Cricetulus griseus: one gene and its partners. The protein of the gene in region 2 purifies or fractionates together with the protein of the main gene of each other region. This does not show direct contact. Links are inferred from orthologs where the notes say so. Each region holds a gene or a part of one and is shown on either strand. Other genes may lie near its edges.

Region 1 (4,221 bases), on a different chromosome or scaffold from region 2:
TGGTATGTTATAGTTTAAAAGGCCTGGGCTAGAGCGGGCATTGGTGACACATGCCTTTAATCCCAGCACTCAGGAGGCAGAGGCAGAGGCAGGTGGATCTCTGTGAGTTCGAGACCATCCTGGTCTACAAGAGCTAGTTCCAGGACAACCTCCAAAGTCACAGAGAAACCCTGTCTTGAAAAAACAAAAAAAACTAAAATAAAAATTTAAAAAAACTAAAAGGCCTGGGCTGTAGTATAATCTCAGGTCTAATGCTCTCATAGAAAGATACTGTTTCACTATTAGTACACGGCATTGTTTTCTGTCAAGGCTAATGCACTAGATGAGATAGCTATCCTCTTTGACCTTCACTTAGATGGTAGCTTTTAGGTTAGAGATACAGTGAAGATTTATGCTTCTTCATGACAGCAAATCATCAATTCACTTAATGAAATGTAGTAAGTGACTTTGCCCACTTGTATTCTAACCAGAGCTGTTCTGTTACAGCTGCATATGAGTGTGCATGTGCAAATACATATGAATTTTTAATATGAGTATCTTACATCTCCTTCGAGACATCTGGATTGTGTTAATACCCAGCTAGCATCCCACATCCTTCAGAAGACAGGAAATTAATATTCCTGAGATGAGAGACCAGATGCTGCTGGAGAGGGTGAGGCATCTATGTCTTAATGAGGAGTGACTTTCTACAATGCCATCTGTTGCCCTCAAAGCGAGGCTCAAAGCACCACACACCTGTAGTGTACAGTACTTCTCCAGCTCCTAAAGCATCAGGATTTACCACCAACTGGGAACTACCATGGTATAATCCCAGTGTCTAACTGGTCTAGACGATCACAGGCAGGATATTCAGTCAGCCTCTCTTCCACATAACAATCCCTACAGTCTTCGCTTTAGTGATGTGGTAGACTTTGGGGAGCCCCTTTTGAGAGCCTTACCCTGCCTGGCGAGTGGGGGGGCATGGGTAGGGGCAGGTGGGATGTTGGGGGGAGGGGAGTGAGAGGGAGAAGGGATTGATATGTGAAGCAAGCTTGTTCCTTATTTGAACTAATAAAAGAATAAAATAAAAAATAAAAAAAGAAATCTTTAGACTTAAAGCTTTAATGAAGGGACCTGTCAGTTGGGTGTAAGGGACTAGAATTTCATTGTTTTTAATATCATGTATTATATCCTGTTGAAAATTGTATTTCTGTAAAATATTTTATTTATATATTGTTTATTTCTTAATAAGCATCATTATAATGCAACCGATTTTTTTAAAAAAAACATTACAGGAGTGTATAGGCAATTAAAATGATTAACATTGAAAAATTGACTTCCATAATCTACTAACAATTATCGCAATGTATAAGAAGGATTTATTAGTATCTGTTTGCTTTCCTCTACTATGCTTTGCTTCAAGTCCCAGCTTTGACCATGACTGCTCAGTGGCCACTAGGCAAGACATTTAATCAAGGGTCTCTGGCTTCACTTCACAACATTATGTGGATAAAATTTAAAAATAAACCCTACAAAAGAAAATATGAAATAATATACCAAGTATTGCCATTGTCACTAATTAGTCCAATTACTGCATGGAGAGAAGGGGCCTGGGGTCCTACTCTATTTTGCTGTATCTGCCAATTTCATAGGACCAAAGAGAATGAAGTCTGCGGTAGCACACATACGTGATCCACCGCAAACAACTCCCTTATTGATCTTTTCTAGGCCTTGCTCTCATGCAGACCAGATATTTGTCATAATTCTACTTTTCTACGTTTGTGTTCACTATCAAGCCGTCCTTTCTTCTTGTGGAGCAATAATAAGGAACAAACCCATCTGAAGGTGAGGGTGGATGAAATGGCTGGAGCCACAGCTCTCCAGTTTTCTAACCCTACAGGTGGGACTCATAGTCACTCCGCGGTGAGCACGCAGATGAAGCAGCAGTTCTCAAAGCACAGAGCATAACACTTTTCTCAAGGTGCCATTCCTTAAAAGCCTACTCGTTACAAAAGCTGGAAATGTTCGACTCATGCTAGGGGAAGAAAGGAAAACCCCAGTCACAAGTCTCTGCAGTGTTACTACTGTAGCCGACACAAGGAATTGATTGGGGGTGGTGCCAGCTTTTTAGAGACAGCCACACAGTTGCAGAGCGCTTCTCTGGGCAGAGAAGGCTGCCAGGGCCTTGGCTCTGCTCAAACCGGCTTTCACGCAGCAAAGGGTGAGACACACTGTACCCCAACAATGCCAAGGTGGCCATGGAGGTCTGCAACATGCTGCACACGCTCCCCAAACCCCTCCCTCCACGACAGCGCACGCCCGCGGGGGCCCATTACCATCCTGCAGAATGAGGGTCGGCTGCACTGCCTGCACTCGGAACTGCCTGGCCCTCCAGCCAGGGCTGGGGGCTCGCACCACCTCGCTGTCAGAGAGCCAGGTCACGGTCTCAAAGTTGTCCCCTCGAGCCAGGGCCTCGGCCTCAGCGCGGTGCACAGCCACCTGGTCGAACTGGTAGAGCCCGCCGGAGTGATCGAAGTGCACGTGAGTGGCCACAGCCAGCAGTGGCCGGCGCCCGGCATCCTCCTTAGCCCCGCAGTCCTGCAAGAGGCCGGAGGAGTAGAGGTACTCCGGGAGGCTGCGCAGCCCCAGGCCCGTGTCGATCACCACGTCTTGCTCGGAGCCGCGCACCAGCCAGATGTTGGCGCGGTTGCCTGACTCGTAGAAGCGCTCTTGAATCCAGAAGATGCCATCGCCCAGAGACTTGTGGGCGTACCACTCAAGCGCGGACATGCTGCTGCGCAGGGGTGCGGCCGGGAGAGGTGGGTGTGCCTCCCAGGGGCAGTCCGGACCCAGAGCTGCCGCAGTGTGCGGCGTACTCCACTCAGCCCCGGAGGAGGCGCGAAAGAGGGGCGGGGATGCGGAAGGGAGCGCGGATAGGCCGCGGTGACGCTGCCCAGATCTCCTGCTCCCGGTCCGCACAGCGCAAAGGCTGCACCCCAGGCTGCCGCAGCTTCTGCAGCCGCAGCACCGTGGCAGTAACGCAGGCCGCTGCAGCAGGGCGGAGATATGGGGCGACACTGCCCTGCTCGGGGGTTCTGCTGCAGAGGCTAGGGATGATGCGTGGGAAGCGCCAGGACCGCCCCCGCACGGGCAGCAGGCGCAGCTCACTCACCGCTGGAGCCCAGAGTGAGGCCGAGCCAGTTGGAAGCAGACTACGGCGCCTGCCAAGGGCTAAAAAGCTCGGTGCCGGGGGCGTGGCCTCGCCGGCAGTGGGCGGGGCTCCTAGTGGGCTAGCTGAGCGCGGTGGCCGCGTGCAGGACAGTGATCGCTGCTGGGGAGGTGGAATCCGCGGCTCCTGGCTGGTGCGGCTGCAGGGACCCCGGCCACCTCGGCTGAACAAAGTGCACAAGCCTCGAGACGTTGTGAGCAGGTAACAGGAAGCTGTTCCGAATTGGGTTGGAGTTGAAGAGGGTAGAAGGGAGTTGATGGGGCACGTGGAGAACGTGGTGGACCCGCATCGGGAGCCAAAATTCATCAGACCTTTGGAGTGACTTGGGAGGTAGCCTTACCTCTTCAAAGCCTAATGCTGCCTTCCAAATCCTTTGACGTCTTGGTAGTTAGATCTTCCAGCCCCCTCCTGGGAGTGTTCTTAGTGAGATAGAAGGGAGTTTATGCTCTTGCTGATACTACAGAAGACTTAGCCAATCCGGAGATCCTACAGTTCGTTCACGCACTGGTTTGGCGACAGATTGCTGCTATGGGCATACCATTCCGCTTCTGATTTCTTTACTCTTGGCACCCTGGATTGTGGGGAGAGGAGTTGCTAATAGGATTTTTCTTTAAACAATTCTAAATTTCCGTCATGTTTTGTTCGGTTCTCTGCTCGTTGAGAAAGTTTCCAGAGCTTAACTAAAGAAAGGCGGGGCACTTTGAGGGGGACAGGAAAAGTGGATAATGACTGGGTGTGGCCTACCCAGCCACTAAAATCACCCCCACTGTTAACATCAAATCCCTGTGCTCTCACCCCAAGCCCTAGCTATTGCTGTATCTATTTAGGATTCAGAAATGCCCTTGAGAAGTTGACTAACCGTCAAAAATTAGAGACCCACGGGATAGCATTATAAAGGATAATTAGGAAAATGCTTACTGCAGCATCTCCTAATAGACTTTCCTGGAGGGAGAGGTGTATTCTTCCTCTATTCCTAAAGTCTCTGGTGGGAGTTCGAGCAGGTTACTGCCCCT
Region 2 (4,271 bases):
GGACTTTTCTGAGCATCAGAGGATTGCAGCTGCAACAGCAACAATAACACAGCTATCAGTTATTGAGGATTTACTTAGAGACAAGTAATATGCTAAAAACACTTTCTCCTCATCATATATTCCCAATGCATAGATAAGAGTAAAGGAGGAGTGGGGCTTGCTAAGATCACACAGTTATTGGCACAGTGAAACACAAATCTGGGGCTGAATCTCAAGGGGTTTGCAGCTTCAGAATTCACTCTGTTTTTGCATGGCCCAAGAGTTGAGAATAGGGTTTTTTATTTATTTTTTAAAAACTAAAGATTTAAATTTTAAAATATATTTATTTCTACTTTATGTGTATGTGTGCTTTGCTTACATGGATGTTGGTGCAGCCTGTGTGTGCACTGACCACAGTCCAGAAATGGGCATCAGATCCCCTGGAACCGGAATTACAGATGACTGTGAGCTGCAATGTGGAAGCTGGGAACCAGACTAGACTGCAAGAGCAGCCAGTGCTCTTACCCATTGATCCTTTTCTCTGGGCCCTAGTTTTTGTTGTTCTTGTTAGGCTTTTTTGTTTGTTTGTTTTTTACATTTTTTTAAGTTTGCAAAGAGAAAAAATAGAGAGATTAAAATGTAATACATATGACCCTTAAAATCAACAATCTTTATTATCTAGCCCTTTTAAAAATGCCAATCCCTGGTCTAAAGCCCTGTACCATCAACTATGTAAAACCATATCTCTTAATAGGAAAGAGATTATCTGTGATGAGTTCTTTAACAGTGTATGGCTCATTTTGCATTTAACCAGAGTTCATATGTCATTTCATGCTTTTTACGATTTGTCTTTCCACTCCTTAAAGGTTTTTACATGTCTATAGATTCTGTACATATTATGTAATAATAAACTAGTTAGTAAATGTTTGTTGAAGATGGTAAACAAGTCACACACATTGTCACACAGAGAAATTAGATAAATGCATGACCAATTAGCCTTAAGAGGCACTACTACAAATGAAATACAATTTTTGGCCAGGTGGTGGTGGTGGCAGCGGCGGTAGTACACGCCTTTAATCCCAACACTCGGGAGGCAGAGGCAGGGGGATCTCTGTGAGTTTGAGGCCAGCCTGAGTTGACCTGAGTTAACACAGAAAAGCCCTGTCTCAAAAAACCAAAAAAGAAAGAAAAAAGAAAAGAAATCTATTTTGACATCCGAGTAAACAGGGTTACTCCTCATGCTTAGAATTCATTACCTTACAAATGAAAAACAAGCCTGAGCCCATGCATTTTCTTAAGGCACACAACTACCTTGAGATGCATGCACATTCTAGAAGTCTGGATTAACTGGAAGGGGTGGGGGCTGCACGGGAAAATGCCTTTTAGTGCCAAACCTTCATATACTTATCTTCAACTCTTAGAAACAAACCTTAACAATTCAAGACTGTACCAAATGAAGATAATCTTCACACACGTACTACAGACAGGATTGTTTGTCACCCCTCATCTCTTCAGCCATACCCTCCTAAGCAGATAGGAGACCATCAGCAATATCTTCTTTTCCCCCTCACAAGACTAGAGCATGGCTCAAAATCCTTGTAAACCCATGGTTTGATCTCTCTCTCTCTCTCTCTCTCTCTCTCTCTCTCTCTCTCTCTCTCTCTCTCTCTCTGTGTGTGTGTGTGTGTGTGTGTGTGTGTGTGTCATCTGCACCTCTCACGCACAGATAAATAACCTCAAAAGAACCTCAAAAGAAAGCACACAGAGTCAAGAACCATAATCATTTACAAAGCAATTGGTCAAGAACTTCATGCCAACAGCAAATCACCCCTAGGCATAACCGTGAAGATTCTTAATTACTATTCGGCTGAACTGTTCCCATCATACAGTATGCTGCTGGAAGAACCTTAACTCTGACTCGTCCTTACTTTCATACACTTGAGTCTTAAGGGTCAACCCTAGGTACTACGGGTATAATAAAATAAATTAGGACGACATTTAAAATGTCCTGAGCTTTCTGTAGCCTACTTCACGTTTTTATTTTGCGTGGGTTCCACCGGAGTAAGGTTATCATTTGCATCTGGAAAGGAGACATAGCAAAAGCTGGGTAATGAGGAAAGGTCGACTCCGGTTCCAAATGAATGCCAGATGCTGCCAGTACACAGCTACTACTGCAGCTTCAACGAACCTTAAACAAACTGACACCCCAGACACATAGATTGCAAGGATGTCTTCCCCTCCCCCTGGCCCAAGCCCCATCCCAGCCACCGCACCCGACTCCCTTTCCCATCCTCAACACCCACCCGTACTGGTCCCCAGCTTAGTAGGCAGAGAAGGGGCAGAGGGGTGCTGGAGAAAAAGGGGGTGGGGTCGGAGGCAAAAGCAGCTCAGAGAGCCAGAGAAAATGGGGAGGCGAAGCTGAGAACGAGGTAGGAAAAAATGGGGGGCGTAGCAGAAATAAAGGGGGTGAGGCAGAGAAACGGAGGACGGTTTAAGGGGAGGCGGAAAATGGAACGAGACAGAGAGCATAATGTAGGCCGAGCAGGACTAGGGCAGGAGAAGCGGCCGGCAGGCAGAGAAAGGGAAAGGGAAAGGGGTAGTGCCAGCGAGGGGACAGGGGTCCCAGACACTTGCCATAAATCATAGCAAGGCCGGTTTCGTGCAGGAAGCGGGCCCGGCGGTGCTTGAAGAGCCAGATCGTCAGAATGGTGAGGGTGAGCAGCAGGATGAAGATGAGCAGGTTGGCGCTGTCCTGCCGGTGGCTCTCCTCAGCCTGCTTCTCGGACACTATCTCCTCGTCCATGGCTCTCGTCGTTCCCCCGGAGCCGTCCGAAGCCCCGGCCCAGCCAAAGACACTCACTGCGAAGAGCAACAAGAGGGGCCGCTGAAGCGGACGCGCCCGGGGCCGGCCGACGCCACGGAGAACAGGCGCCTGCCGCCAGCCGCGCCGAGCCCCAGCCATGTCTCCCCCCACCCCACCCACCCACCCCCCACCCCCCACCCCCGCCCCTCTCCTTTCCTTCTCTCCTCCCCGCAGCCGCCGCCGCCGCTCGCCCGCTCGCCCGCCCGCCCGCGGTCGGACCACTCCCCGAGGGCTCACGGGAAAGGGGCGGGGCTGCAGCCGAGCCGGCGGTGCAGGCACCGCCCCGCGCGGCCTCCACTTTTAAAGGGCCCGCTGCGGCTCCCGCCCTCGCAGCCGCATTCCTTTTGCCCATCTGCCCACCTAGGGACGCACCTAGAGCTTGAGCTCTGTCCGAGACATCGAATCTAACCCACTCGTTCCCACTGAAGGAACACGTAATCACATGCAGAAGGCGCTCCCTTTACTTTGATCCTGACCGCGGGGAAAGGGAGAGGAATTGATCTTCATAACCCGTCTGGATATTGTCCCCCAGTGTGTCTTAACAGGATAAGAAGTTGTCCCTTGGGAGTGGCCTCAATCTCCAGCTCTGTAATTTAAATCGGAATCCCCGTATTCTGCCATTATTGCGGGGGGGACAATAACAGTGTAAGAGTTTATAAAAGAATTCACACAAAGGCATGGAACATGAGTGTATCTGTATAATTAATTGGCTTTTCTTTAGCAGTCAAAGCTTGATGTATATCTACTGCAACAGGAACGAGCACATAGCTTCAACCTTGGAAAGAATAGTCAAGCACGTTTGTGCTCACATTTCTCTTCACTCAGAAGCACTTCCCTGACTTTGGGGAGAAGTCTTCTGGAGCTGCAGGCTGTTTCCCTCTCTTGTTCTTTTTGATTGCTACTTTCAGTCAAATGTCACCAGTTCTTTCACCTTTGACTCCCTACCTGTCATCTTCACCCCAACTTCACTCCTGAGTAATTTCTGAGTGTTCCTCGGGACCTCACAAGGCTTCATCTCCATAGTTTAGCTGTGTTTGGGAACCTCTCCAAAAAGTCTCCATACTTGCAGCATCACCCAGTTGTTTGGGCTTCTTTTTCTCTATCCTTTCACTTCTGTGTGAAGCAGCTACAAATCTCAAGCCTCGGCCCATCACCAGCCCTTCAGGCCTCTACCTGTTGAGTATATTGGGCATATCCTGTAAAGGAGCATATTCTTTCCCCTGTGAATATATATCCTCCCGCAAAGCCCTCACGACATCATTAGGACCACTGTCAACCCAGCCTTGCCATTTTGTATAAAACATACCATCTGAAAGCTTTTCACCTCAGGGCTGACCATATAGCCCAACAACAGCAACAAGAGGCCCCAGTGTGAATGCCTTTTCACTAACAAACTCTTTAAGCTCTGTCAAGATAGTGAAACTTCAGA
Region 3 (3,354 bases), on a different chromosome or scaffold from region 2:
TAAATTAGTTATTTGTGAATATCCTCTAAAGTAGACAGGAACTTCAATATAAAGCACTAGTAAGTCACAAATACTCTGAGAACTTACAACTTAAATAATTTAGACACATGACACACTCACACCACCTCCCCCCCACATACCACATACACACATGTTCTTTTTAAAGAACTTAGTCATGTAAGTTGTCCTCTGACTCCTACATGTGCTCCATTACATACACACGCACACACATGCGCCTGTAAGGAACCCCAGGAATGCACTCATCCACCACCCTAGATTGGGGGAACCCTGTGATGCTGCAGGGGTCACAGTGGAATGAGGGTATGTCTGGCCACACAGCAACTGTGTGTAAACAGCAGGCCATCTCCACTCTCGGCTATGGCCTAGGGACAGCAGTGTAGACAGGCTGGCTGTTCACAGGGCTGTCCCTCTCAGAAAACTGATAATCCACACTGCCAAAGTCCAGTGTTCTTGGCAGTTCACATGTGCACACCAGACACTGAACAAGGCAGGGCTGGCCATTCTCAGTCAGTGCTGGAAGGATGGCAGCACTACCACAAGTCACCAGCACAGCCTCACCCTTTTCAGCGATGACTACATCATCACTGTCACTTGGCTTTTTCTCCTCTTCCAAAACTTCTGGCTTCTCAGGGGCTTTCTCCTCCTCTACCCCTTGTTCCAGAGACGCCTTGGTCTGTGGTTTACTTATGTCAGTTGTCTTAGGACCTAGGTCTTCATATTTTTTCTGTGGAAGTTTAACAAAAGCTGTTTTTAATAAAAAGCAAAGCACTATTTTTATTTTATTTTATTTTTTTTAGTGCACAGACACTAAGTATTGAAATGGACAACACTCGTCCTCTTCATCGTAACATTTATCTGCCATTTTTTTTTTTTTTTTTGCACTGAGAAGGTATATAACAATCTCTCAGAAAATCTTACAGGAAACTGAATTCACTGCATTTACACTGAATTCATTACACAGTTTGAGTCTGGAAAACAAGCAAGTCTGAAAAACAAAGTTGAAAAAAGTGTATTTTCTTTACCTTTACTTTTCTTGGCCAACAAAATGAAGTAAGTAACGCTATGGGCAACCCAGCCATCACAAGGTACATGAGCCAGAGCCATGGTCGCTCCTCTGCCGCTGTCGTTAGCTGTTTGAGTACACCGGGCTGCGAGAGAAATCAGCACAGAACACTTACCAACTCCCACTGGGAAATACAGATTATATACCTTTTATACCATGCACGCGCACACACACACACACACACACACAATACACACTCCACACATACACACACCCAATACATACCACACACACGCACTACACACACTACACACACCACACATACCCACTCCACACTCCATATACACTACACACCCCCTATACACATTATACTCACACATACCCCATACACAATACACACACACACACACACCAAAAATGAAAGAAAAAAAGACTCCTTTGATAATATGTTGATAATATGTTCTGTTATTTAAAGAACTTCCTAATAAAGTCACTCAGGGGCTATTGTTTTTTCCTTTTTCTTTCTATATAAACAACTTCATAAGTGGCCCTTGTGCATGAATTTTATTTTAGTAACATAAAATCTGAGCCACAACATACTTTACGTGTAACAATCAAGTGTGTAAATGGGGTGGGTGAATGGCTTGGCAGGTCCAGTGCTGGCACCCACATAAAGTGCTGGGTGCAGTGGCCTGCATGTGGCCTGCATCTATAATCCCAGAGCCCCATAGTGCAGTGAGAAGTGGGGATAGTTTCTGGAGGCTCACAGGCCAGCTAACCCGGAGTGCACAGCACTGCAGTTGAGACAAACAATAATGTTGAATTTAGAGTTCTTGGTATTTCTCTAAATGAAAATATTTGAAATGCATATGGATTATTGTTAAAACTTAGGCTTGCACTGCCAACATGAAAACACAAAGAAATATTTCTTATTGCTATAAATCACAAGTAGGCTTTGGAACTCATTAAAGCTACCATAATTTAATGAATGAAATGAGATCATAGCATCTTCATGCTGAGTTCACTATATAGTCTTCAGAAAAGCTGAATAGTCTGTCTGTAAAATTCACTCTAGTCCATCTCCCTGGCATTTAGGAATTATTGCATCTATGCACACCCCACAGCCAGGACTGGGGTCCCATGACTCCCACCCATAGTCACTATCATACCTCATTAGCATTTGCCACGATTATCTTCAGTCCCCAGCCATCTGCAGCCCAGCGATCTGCTACCTCCTTTTCTGAACAGATGATAAAATTATCGAAGTAGATGTTGGGAGTCATGGACCAAAGCTCTAAGCCCAGAGCACTGAAAGAAGTCAGAAGGAATGGGTGGTCATCCTCAAAATAATCTGGGTTAGGGATTTTCTGAGGGCTCCAGATTCCCTGCAAGGAACAACAAATGAACAAGATTTTAGGCAAAGTGATGCCATTAAACAATTAAAAAGGAACATAAGAACCGTTTCTAAGGGACAGGGAGTTGGGGAGACGGATCAGTGGGTAAAGTGCTTGCCCCTGTGGGAGGTCTGAGGGCCTGAGTTCAGTCTCCGGCACCACTTAGAAAGCTGGTACTGTAAAACAGACCTCCATACCAGACCCGAGGAGATGGGGACACAGCTACCCTGGGATTTGCTGGCAGCCAGTCTACTTCAATCAGAAAACTTCAGGTTCAATGATAGGCACTGTCCCCAAAACAATAAGATGAAGAAGGACAATCTCTCTCTCTCACATGAGCTCATGCATGTGTGTGTGTGTGTGTGTGTGTGTGTGTGTGTGTGTGTGTGTGTGTGTGTGTGCACACGCGCGCGCGCGCGCGCACACACACACACTTTGTAATAAACGCTTTGAAGAAAGACTACAGTGAAGAATTAGTATAATCACATTTGAATAGTGCAAGAGACATCAAAGGCACACTAGAGGGTTAAAATGACTAATGAAAGCAAAGCCAGATCACCCCCAAATGTCTGACAGCCTAAAAATTCAGAATTTTGACAATGTTAAATAAATAAGGAGTTCATGAAACACAGACACTAATTATTGAAATGGACAATACAAGTTCTCTCCATGAGAACTCATTCATTTACTTTTGAAATAGAACTTTGTTCCAAAGTAATCATCAACTGACTATTGGGAAGAAGAATATCTTAAATGACAACAGGGTTTCTCTACATAGCCTGGCTGTTTGGATGTCCTGAAACTCACTATGTGACAGATAAGGCTGGCGTAGAACTCACAGAGGTCCACCTTTTTCTGCCTCTCAAGTGCTGGGATTAGACGTGTGCCACCACCACCTGCTTGCTACATGTTCTCATTTTCACATTGATACTATTT

What was found.
Region 1: the proteins of Slc9a6 (region 2) and Mblac2 purify together in Homo sapiens (co-immunoprecipitation; 3 studies listed by BioGRID and IntAct, counting the BioPlex papers as one, with this or other methods). This does not show direct contact. The link is inferred for Cricetulus griseus from reciprocal best matches to the Homo sapiens genes SLC9A6 and MBLAC2.
Region 3: the proteins of Slc9a6 (region 2) and Clgn purify together in Homo sapiens (co-immunoprecipitation; 3 studies listed by BioGRID and IntAct, with this or other methods). This does not show direct contact. The link is inferred for Cricetulus griseus from reciprocal best matches to the Homo sapiens genes SLC9A6 and CLGN.

The regions. Positions count from the first base shown.
Region 1 is NC_048595.1:302,160,910-302,165,130, reverse strand, and holds the start of Mblac2 (metallo-beta-lactamase domain-containing protein 2), read right to left. Parts: upstream 2,898-4,221; 5' UTR 2,770-2,897; coding exon 2,316-2,769; intron 1-2,315. UniProt on the Homo sapiens protein: Acyl-CoA thioesterases are a group of enzymes that catalyze the hydrolysis of acyl-CoAs to the free fatty acid and coenzyme A (CoASH), providing the potential to regulate intracellular levels of acyl-CoAs, free fatty acids and CoASH.
Region 2 is NC_048604.1:15,841,365-15,845,635, forward strand, and holds the start of Slc9a6 (sodium/hydrogen exchanger 6), read right to left. Parts: upstream 2,942-4,271; coding exon 2,614-2,941; intron 1-2,613. UniProt on the Homo sapiens protein: Endosomal Na(+), K(+)/H(+) antiporter. Mediates the electroneutral exchange of endosomal luminal H(+) for a cytosolic Na(+) or K(+).
Region 3 is NC_048596.1:159,058,876-159,062,229, reverse strand, and holds part of Clgn (calmegin), read right to left. Parts: intron 2,410-3,354; coding exon 2,194-2,409; intron 1,170-2,193; coding exon 1,044-1,169; intron 746-1,043; coding exon 580-745; intron 1-579. UniProt on the Homo sapiens protein: Functions during spermatogenesis as a chaperone for a range of client proteins that are important for sperm adhesion onto the egg zona pellucida and for subsequent penetration of the zona pellucida.